Macaca fascicularis: one gene and its partner. The protein of the gene in region 1 interacts with the protein of each later gene in a biochemical or structural test. Links are inferred from orthologs where the notes say so. Each region holds a gene or a part of one and is shown on either strand. Other genes may lie near its edges. The genes, in order: COPS7A and COPS6.

The links.
Region 2: the proteins of COPS7A (region 1) and COPS6 form a complex in vitro, tested with the Homo sapiens proteins (3 studies listed by BioGRID, with this or other methods). The link is inferred for Macaca fascicularis from reciprocal best matches to the Homo sapiens genes COPS7A and COPS6.

The regions. Positions count from the first base shown.
Region 1 is NC_088385.1:7,647,954-7,651,048, forward strand, and holds part of COPS7A (COP9 signalosome complex subunit 7a), read left to right. Parts: intron 1-1,380; coding exon 1,381-1,456; intron 1,457-1,678; coding exon 1,679-1,767; intron 1,768-2,707; coding exon 2,708-2,910; intron 2,911-3,095.
Region 2 is NC_088377.1:48,741,785-48,746,350, forward strand, and holds COPS6 (COP9 signalosome complex subunit 6), read left to right. Parts: upstream 1-1,476; 5' UTR 1,477-1,489; coding exon 1,490-1,559; intron 1,560-1,782; coding exon 1,783-1,908; intron 1,909-2,106; coding exon 2,107-2,238; intron 2,239-2,885; coding exon 2,886-2,974; intron 2,975-3,077; coding exon 3,078-3,140; intron 3,141-3,393; coding exon 3,394-3,441; intron 3,442-3,529; coding exon 3,530-3,644; intron 3,645-3,729; coding exon 3,730-3,822; intron 3,823-3,923; coding exon 3,924-4,024; intron 4,025-4,154; coding exon 4,155-4,295; 3' UTR 4,296-4,414; downstream 4,415-4,566. UniProt on the Homo sapiens protein: Component of the COP9 signalosome complex (CSN), a complex involved in various cellular and developmental processes.

The DNA of each region.
Region 1 (3,095 bases):
TAATCCCAGCTACTTGGGAGGCCGAGGCAGGAGAATCACTTGAACCCGGGAGGCAGAGGTTGCAGTGAGCCGAGATTGCGCCACTGCACTCCAGCCTGGGCGACAGAGTGAGACTCTGTCTCAAAAAAAACAAACAAACAAAAAAAAAAAAGCTCATGTATCCCAGAAGTTAAAGTATAATTTAAAAAAAAAAAGGGTGGCAGAGGTTGCAGTGAGCCGAGATCGCACCACTGCACTCCAGCCTGGGTGACAGTGCGAGACACCGACTCAGAAAAAGAAAAAGAAGCACTTATTGAGTGGCTGTTTACTGCCCTTTTTATGGTCTGGGAATACAAGAAAAATATCAGAAGAGATAAGATGAATGGATATAAATCTAAATTATTTATTTATTTAGCGAGTATTTCTTCTGAGGCAATTACTGCATAGCTCTGTGGGATACCAGAGACTGGGTCTATAATCTTGTTGAAAGATATTCTTAGGTAGCAACCTTCTGCAAGGATTGATTAAGTGCCAGAATGAAGCTGAGCACAGTGGCTCATGCCTGTAACCCCAGCACTTTGGGAGGCTGAGGCAGGTGGTGGATCACTTGAGGTCAGGAGTTCGAGACCAGCCTGGCCAACATGGCGAAACCCTGTGTCTACTAAAAATACATATATTAGCCCAGTGTGATGGTGCATGCCTGTAATCCCACCTGCTTGGGAGGGTGAGGCAGGAGAATCACTTGAACTCAGGAGGCGGAGGTTTCAGTGAACCAAGATCACACCACTGCATTCCAAACTGGGTGACGGAGGGAGACTCCGTCGCGAAAAAAAAAAAATGCCAGAATGAGTGATCCATGATAGGAGAGGAAATCTGGGTGGACTGGACTGGGCGATGCAAGACAGTGTCCTGGTCAGGTGGGTCTGAAGCAGAGACCACAAATTTAGATGTCTTTCTAGGCTGTGCAGCTGTCAGAGATGAGTGAGGCCGAGGCAGGAATCTGTTGAATTGCGGAGTACTGCACACTGCCCAGACATATTCCAATTTAGAAATATCAAACACTCTGAGGGCCAGACAACACAATTTGCGGTGTCTGGTGCGTGTGTCTGTTCGACTCTGAAAACTGAATGTCTTCAACTCTGAATTTAGGGTAGGAATTGGATGGCGTATGGAGCAAGAGGGCATTGTGGATTGGGAGAATAGTGTAAGCAAAGGCCTGAAGGTGGAAATGCGCCCTTCCTGTGGGAAGCGTGATCAGAGAGGCAGAGAACTGCTTTTGATGAGCCAGGAGAGTTAACATTGGCTGGGAAAGATGGAACAAAAAGTGGAGTTCCACACAGGGTAAGGCTGGGAGGGTGGAGAGGAAGACTTGGGTCACCTCCTTTGTCTTCATTCTTGCAGCTGGCTGAGAGTGACTTTGCCTCCACCTTCCGGCTGCTCACAGTGTTTGCTTATGGGACATACGCTGACTACTTAGGTAACCAGAGGGTGTGGTGCTCTGGAGTAATGGAGATGGGAGAAGGGCAATTTCTGGAGGGACTCAGAAGAAATTCCCAGGATATCCCACTTAGATCCCCTGGGCACGTAGGGTCAGTGTCAAGACCTGAATTGGCATTGAACATGGGAGGGGAGGGAAGGAGGCTAGGGCTTCCCAGAAAACTGATATCAGGATTCCTTACACTTTGTCATTTTTCCCTAGCTGAAGCCCGGAATCTTCCTCCACTAACAGAGGCTCAGAAGAATAAGCTTCGACACCTCTCAGTTGTCACCCTGGCTGCTAAAGTAAAGGTGAGTGGCAGTCCCCCAGTCCTACGGTCTTGAGCATCCTTTTGTATGTCCCTGGGAGTCCACACTAGGACAGCCTTTGTCTGGACCATGGCTGCTTCCTGCCCTCCCCTTGTCCAAGGTCTGTATATAAACTCCATTAGCAACCGTTTAGGCTGATAGTATTCTTAGTTTTCTGTGTTGTTTTTATTTTTTAATCAACCTAAGTTCTAAATAAACATCTTTTGTGTATTTGGTCAAAATAGCAACTAGGATGTTGTTCAGGTGTTGTTCAACAATACCTTCTTCCCTACTGCAGGAAACCAGACTCTCTCTTGATGAAGTGCTAGGCTTCTCTTTGTTAGGATGAGAAATATATATCCCAGAAGTATCTGTATATTCCCATTATTAATGGCTGTTTTTTGTCTAATATCACCATCCACCTCCCCAGCCTGCCCAATCTGCAGCTCGCAATAGTTACTTGACTCTCAGTTGTCCTCGGGATTTAATTTAAACCAGGCTCTCTATTGAGAGACACCTCCAAAGGAATGCCTGTTGCAAGCAGGCAGAGTATAAATGATAAACAGTAACTCCAGACCTCTCCCACTTCCGCTTTCTCCCCTATGTCAAGCTGATCTTGACTGAGGACCGGGTGATACCCTGAACTGTGGCCAAAGGAGTGACACCCAGGCAGATGTCATTTTCTCCCTCTGTGGTGTGGCAGGGGTGAGGGTGTTAGGGGAGCATTTTGTATTTTATTTAAGATTGTGCTTCTAATGATGCTGTTTTTGAAGTGGGAATACTTTTGTTTATTTTGCTTTAGAACCAGCCTCTTAGAGGAAGTGATTTAGGAATGGGAGTGGAGGGCAGGTGTGCTGGGGCAGGGGGAAAAGGAGGGAAGATTTTTGGAAGCCCTTTTCTGTGCGGAACCTCACAAATCCTGACCTGATCTGCGCGGCCCCAGTGTATCCCATATGCAGTGTTGCTGGAGTCTCTTGCCCTGCGTAATGTGCGGCAGCTGGAAGACCTTGTGATTGAGGCTGTGTATGCTGACGTGCTTCGTGGCTCCCTGGACCAGCGCAACCAGCGGCTCGAGGTTGACTACAGCATCGGGCGGGACATCCAGCGCCAGGACCTCAATGCCATTGCCCGAACCCTGCAGGAATGGTGAGAACCGTATCCTGGCACTGTCCCCTTCCTTGTCACCCTGAGAAGGAGAAAGGCGCTTCAGGGTGAGAGAGGGCAAGAGCTGGGCTGGTCTGTAGAGGTGGAACCCAGGAGGATGAAGGGAAATGAATTTATCCCTCCAAAGGCTTCTGGGGAATGCAGGAGTGGGGAGACCTTGGGAGGCG
Region 2 (4,566 bases), on another chromosome or scaffold:
CCAACGTGCTGGGATTACAGGTGTGAGTCACCATGCCTGGCCTTGTGGAGTTATTTTATTTATTTATTTATTTATTTATTTATTTATTTATTTATTTATTTTTGAGACGGAGTCTCACTCTGTCTCGCCCAGGCTGGAGTGCAGTGGTGCGATCTCAGCTCACTGCAGCCTCTCCCTCCCAGGTTCAATCAATTCTTCTGCCTCAGTCTCCCGAGTAGCTGGGACTACAGGCACATGCCACCACGTCCGGCTAATTTTTGTATTTTCAGTAGAGACAGGGTTTCACCATGTTGGCCAGGCTGGTCTCAAACTCCTGACCTCAAGTGATTGGCCAGCCTCGGCCTCCCAAAGTGCTTGGATTACAGGTGTGAGCCACCATGCCTGGCCTTGTGGGGTTATTTTCGAAAGTCCTTGAGACAGTCCCTATATCAGACATGCAAGCATGAGCCCTTCTGCTTGGTGTTCTCATGACTCCAATTTGTTTGGACTTGACAATGTGATTTTTGTCCTGGTATCTGCAACTTTCACAAGATGGAGCAACTCAACACCAGATTCCATCCCAAATTATTCCTTCATTCACTCAAAAAGTATCTAGGCACCAATGTGTTAGGTACCGTGTTGGTCACAGGGGATACCACGATGAACAAGAGAAGGAAACACAGGCTCCTGAATGCGAGAGTGAGGCATGTGGAAAGCAGACACGGAGAGCTGGGTGTGGTGGCTCATGCCTGTAATCCCAGTGCTTTGGGAGGCCAAGGATGGAGGATCGCTTCTGTCAGGGAGTTGGAGACCAGCCTGGACAACCTAGTGAGACTCCTGTCTCTATCAAAATAAAAAAATAATAATAAAATTAGCTGGGTGTGGTGGGGTGCACCTGTAATCCCAGCTACTCGGGAGGCTGAAATGGGAGGATCACTTGAGCCTGAGAGTTTGAGGGTGCAGTCAGCTGATATCAGGCCACTGCACTTCAGCCTGGGCGACAGAGCGAGACCCTGTCTCAAACAAAACAAAACAAACCACCACCACCAGACATGAGGGCCAGTGCAGCTGTAGCCTGAAGATCAAGGGCTAGAAAAGTAGAGGCCAGACCGGGGCCAGATCAGGCAGGGCCTTGCAGGCTGTGGTTAGTTGTCTGGATTTTATTGTGAGGGAAATAACACGACATGTCATTCATTCTGCAACAGCCTTAAGAACTAGGAGTTCTTATCCCAATTTTACAGACGAGGACGATCAATCAAATCGTTAACTAATTTGTCCAAGGTCACCCGCAGGCGACAGGCGGGGACAGGGTCTGGGAAAACCGGCAGGCACCGAGGCCCAGAGGGCGTCGGGCTTCCCCGCACCGAGTGCCGCCCGCCGCGACCCGGGAACTGCCTGCTCCCCGGACGCCAGGCCCGCCGCTTGCCGCGGAGACACAGAACATGCGCTGCTCGCCTTACGGAAGCCGGGAAGGAAGGGGGCGGGGCCGAGGCTGGCGGGCGCGGGGAAAATGGCGGCGGCGGCGGGTGCAGCTACAAACGGGACCGGAGGGAGCAGCGGGATGGAGGTGGATGCAGCAGGTAACGGGCCGTGCGCGGGCGGCTTCCGGAGACCTCCTTCAGGGGTGCGTTGAGGCCTTGCTGTGCTCCCGGGAGAAGGGAGGAGGGCGGAGCAGCAACATCTTTCTCTGGGATAAGTTGCGGGAGGAAAAGTGTGGCCCGGGCTCCGTCGTCCCCCACTGCTATCTTCAGGGAAGAACGTGGGGCCCGGACTCTCACCCTCTCTCTTTCCCTCCACCCTTAGTAGTTCCCAGCGTGATGGCCTCCGGAGTGACTGGGAGTGTTTCCGTCGCTCTCCATCCCCTTGTCATTCTCAACATCTCCGACCACTGGATCCGCATGCGCTCCCAGGAGGGGCGGCCTGTGCAGGGTGAGTGTTGGGCATAGACTCCAGTCTCCTCTCCTTGCTCACCTCCCCCAGACAGTGGTCTTTTCCCCTTCCTTTACTAGATCCAATTCCCCTCCCCCAAATCATCGTTTCCCCAATACTTGGTTCCCACTCATCTCAGACCCTCAGGTCATAGAAGTCTCTTTAACGTTACCTTTTCCATGTCATTCTCTTTCCCAGTGATTGGGGCTTTGATTGGCAAGCAGGAGGGCCGAAATATCGAGGTGATGAACTCCTTTGAGCTGCTGTCCCACACCGTGGAAGAGAAGATTATAATTGACAAGGAATATTATTACACCAAGGAGGAGCAGTGTGAGAGTGGAATAGATGTGGGGAAGAGGAGTGGGAGTTAAAAAAAATGTGCAAGGTGGGGAAGATGGAGAGGGTTGGAAAGAAACCCGAGAGGACGCCAAGAACAGAGGAGAAAAAGTGAAGAGAGTAGCTGGAGAGATCTCAGAAAAAGAACACGTTCAGAGTTCTTTCTCAAAAAGAAAGTAAAGGATGAGAGAAGACAGGATAGAAGGGAGTAATTATTCTAAACTGAGCCAGGATTTGAGAAAGGAGGAGAAGCTGGTGAAAATACACCAGGAGTTTCACATTGAGGAAGGATGGTTTAAAGGACTATGTCAGGCCGGACGCAGTGAATCAGGCCTATAATCCCAGCACTTTGGGAGGCCGAGGCGGGTGGATCATGAGGTCAGGAGTTACAGACCAGCCTGGCAAACATAGTGAAACCCCATCTCTACTGAAAATACAAAAATTAGCCTGGCATGGTGGTGCGTGCCTGAAGTCCCAGCTACTCGGGAGGCTGAGGCAGAATTGCTTGAACCTGGGAGGCAGAGGTTGTGGTGAGCCAAGATCGTGCCACTGCACTCTAGCCTAGGCAACAGAGCAAGACTCAAAAAAAAAAAAAAAAAAAAAAAAAGAATTACTGTGTGTTCTGGCCCTTTCCCCTCCAGTTAAACAGGTGTTCAAGGAGCTGGAGTTTCTGGGTTGGTATACCACAGGGGGGCCACCTGACCCCTCGGACATCCACGTCCATAAGCAGGTATACATGCTCACACCTGTGCATGCTGGGGCAGAGAATGGAGAATGAGGGGAAGGAGAAAGGTGGGGGTCACTGACTTCTGTGCATTGTCCCTCTCTTCCAGGTGTGTGAGATCATTGAGAGCCCCCTCTTTCTGAAGTTGAACCCTATGACCAAGCACACAGATGTGAGTAATACCCCATGCCTACTCTGTCGTGATTGTCACTGTTGCCTTTTACTGTGTGATACTCTTCTATTGGGGAATGCCAGGTGCCACTTACCAGCTGTAACTCTGTCTTAGTCATTTCATCTCCAAACTGTGAAGGGAGGTAATCCCTACTTCACTGGTTTCTTGGGAAGATGAGATGAGAGGAAATGGGTGAAAGCAGCTCGTCCAAATGTTGGCATATAGTGTTCAGGTTTCTCCATCTCCTTCACAGCTTCCTGTCAGCGTTTTTGAGTCTGTCATCGATATAATCAATGGAGAGGTAATACCCTACCCTTGAACCCTCAGATCCTGCTTTTGGCCTCTTTCCTGCTTTTGATTCTCCCTTTGTGGGTTACCTTGCCTTGTAGGCCACAATGCTGTTTGCTGAGCTGACCTACACTCTGGCCACAGAGGAAGCGGAACGCATTGGTGTAGACCACGTAGCCCGAATGACAGCAACAGGCAGTGGAGAGAACTCCACTGGTAATGGAGGGGATTACTTGGAAGTGGGGTTGGAAGGTGTGGCCACATCCCGTCTCAACCTCCTCCTGTCCTCGTCCCTTTGCAGTGGCTGAACACCTGATAGCACAGCACAGCGCCATCAAGATGCTGCACAGCCGCGTCAAGCTCATCTTGGAGTACGTCAAGGCCTCTGAAGCGGGTAGGACAGGGGCTTCCTTGGGCACTTCCCTGGCATTCTTCCTCTCCCTCCTGGGGAAGTGACAGCATCCAAACTAATGCAGCCTCTTTTTGTGCCTTTAGGAGAGGTCCCCTTTAATCATGAGATCCTGCGGGAGGCCTATGCTCTGTGTCACTGCCTCCCGGTGCTCAGCACAGACAAGTTCAAGACAGATTTTTATGATGTGAGTTTAAAACCTGGATGGGGAGGTGGGGCTCATGCTGTCACTTTCACGTGGAGGACCGGGGACTGTTGTTCCCTGGGCATGCCACGAGGGATCCCCTGAGGAATTTGTCCTTTCTGTTCCCTCCCAGCAATGCAACGACGTGGGGCTCATGGCCTACCTCGGCACCATCACGAAAACGTGCAACACCATGAACCAGTTTGTGAACAAGTTCAACGTCCTCTATGATCGACAAGGCATCGGCAGGCGAATGCGCGGGCTCTTCTTCTGAGGAGGGTACTTGAAGGGCTGATGGACAGGGGTCAGGCAACTGTCCCAAAGGGGAGGGCGCTACACTTGAGAGAAACCGCTGTCATTAATAATAAAGGGGAGCAGCCCCCGAGCACCCCTGCTGGTGGCTCTGTCCTCTCTGTTAGGCACCACACTGGTTTGTCAACTTGGATGTTCATCGAGGTTCATCGTGAGCCTTGCTCACAAGCCCTTCTGATGCTTTTCCATGAGGGAGGCACTGCCGTTTCAAGTGACCCCGTGTCAGTCACATG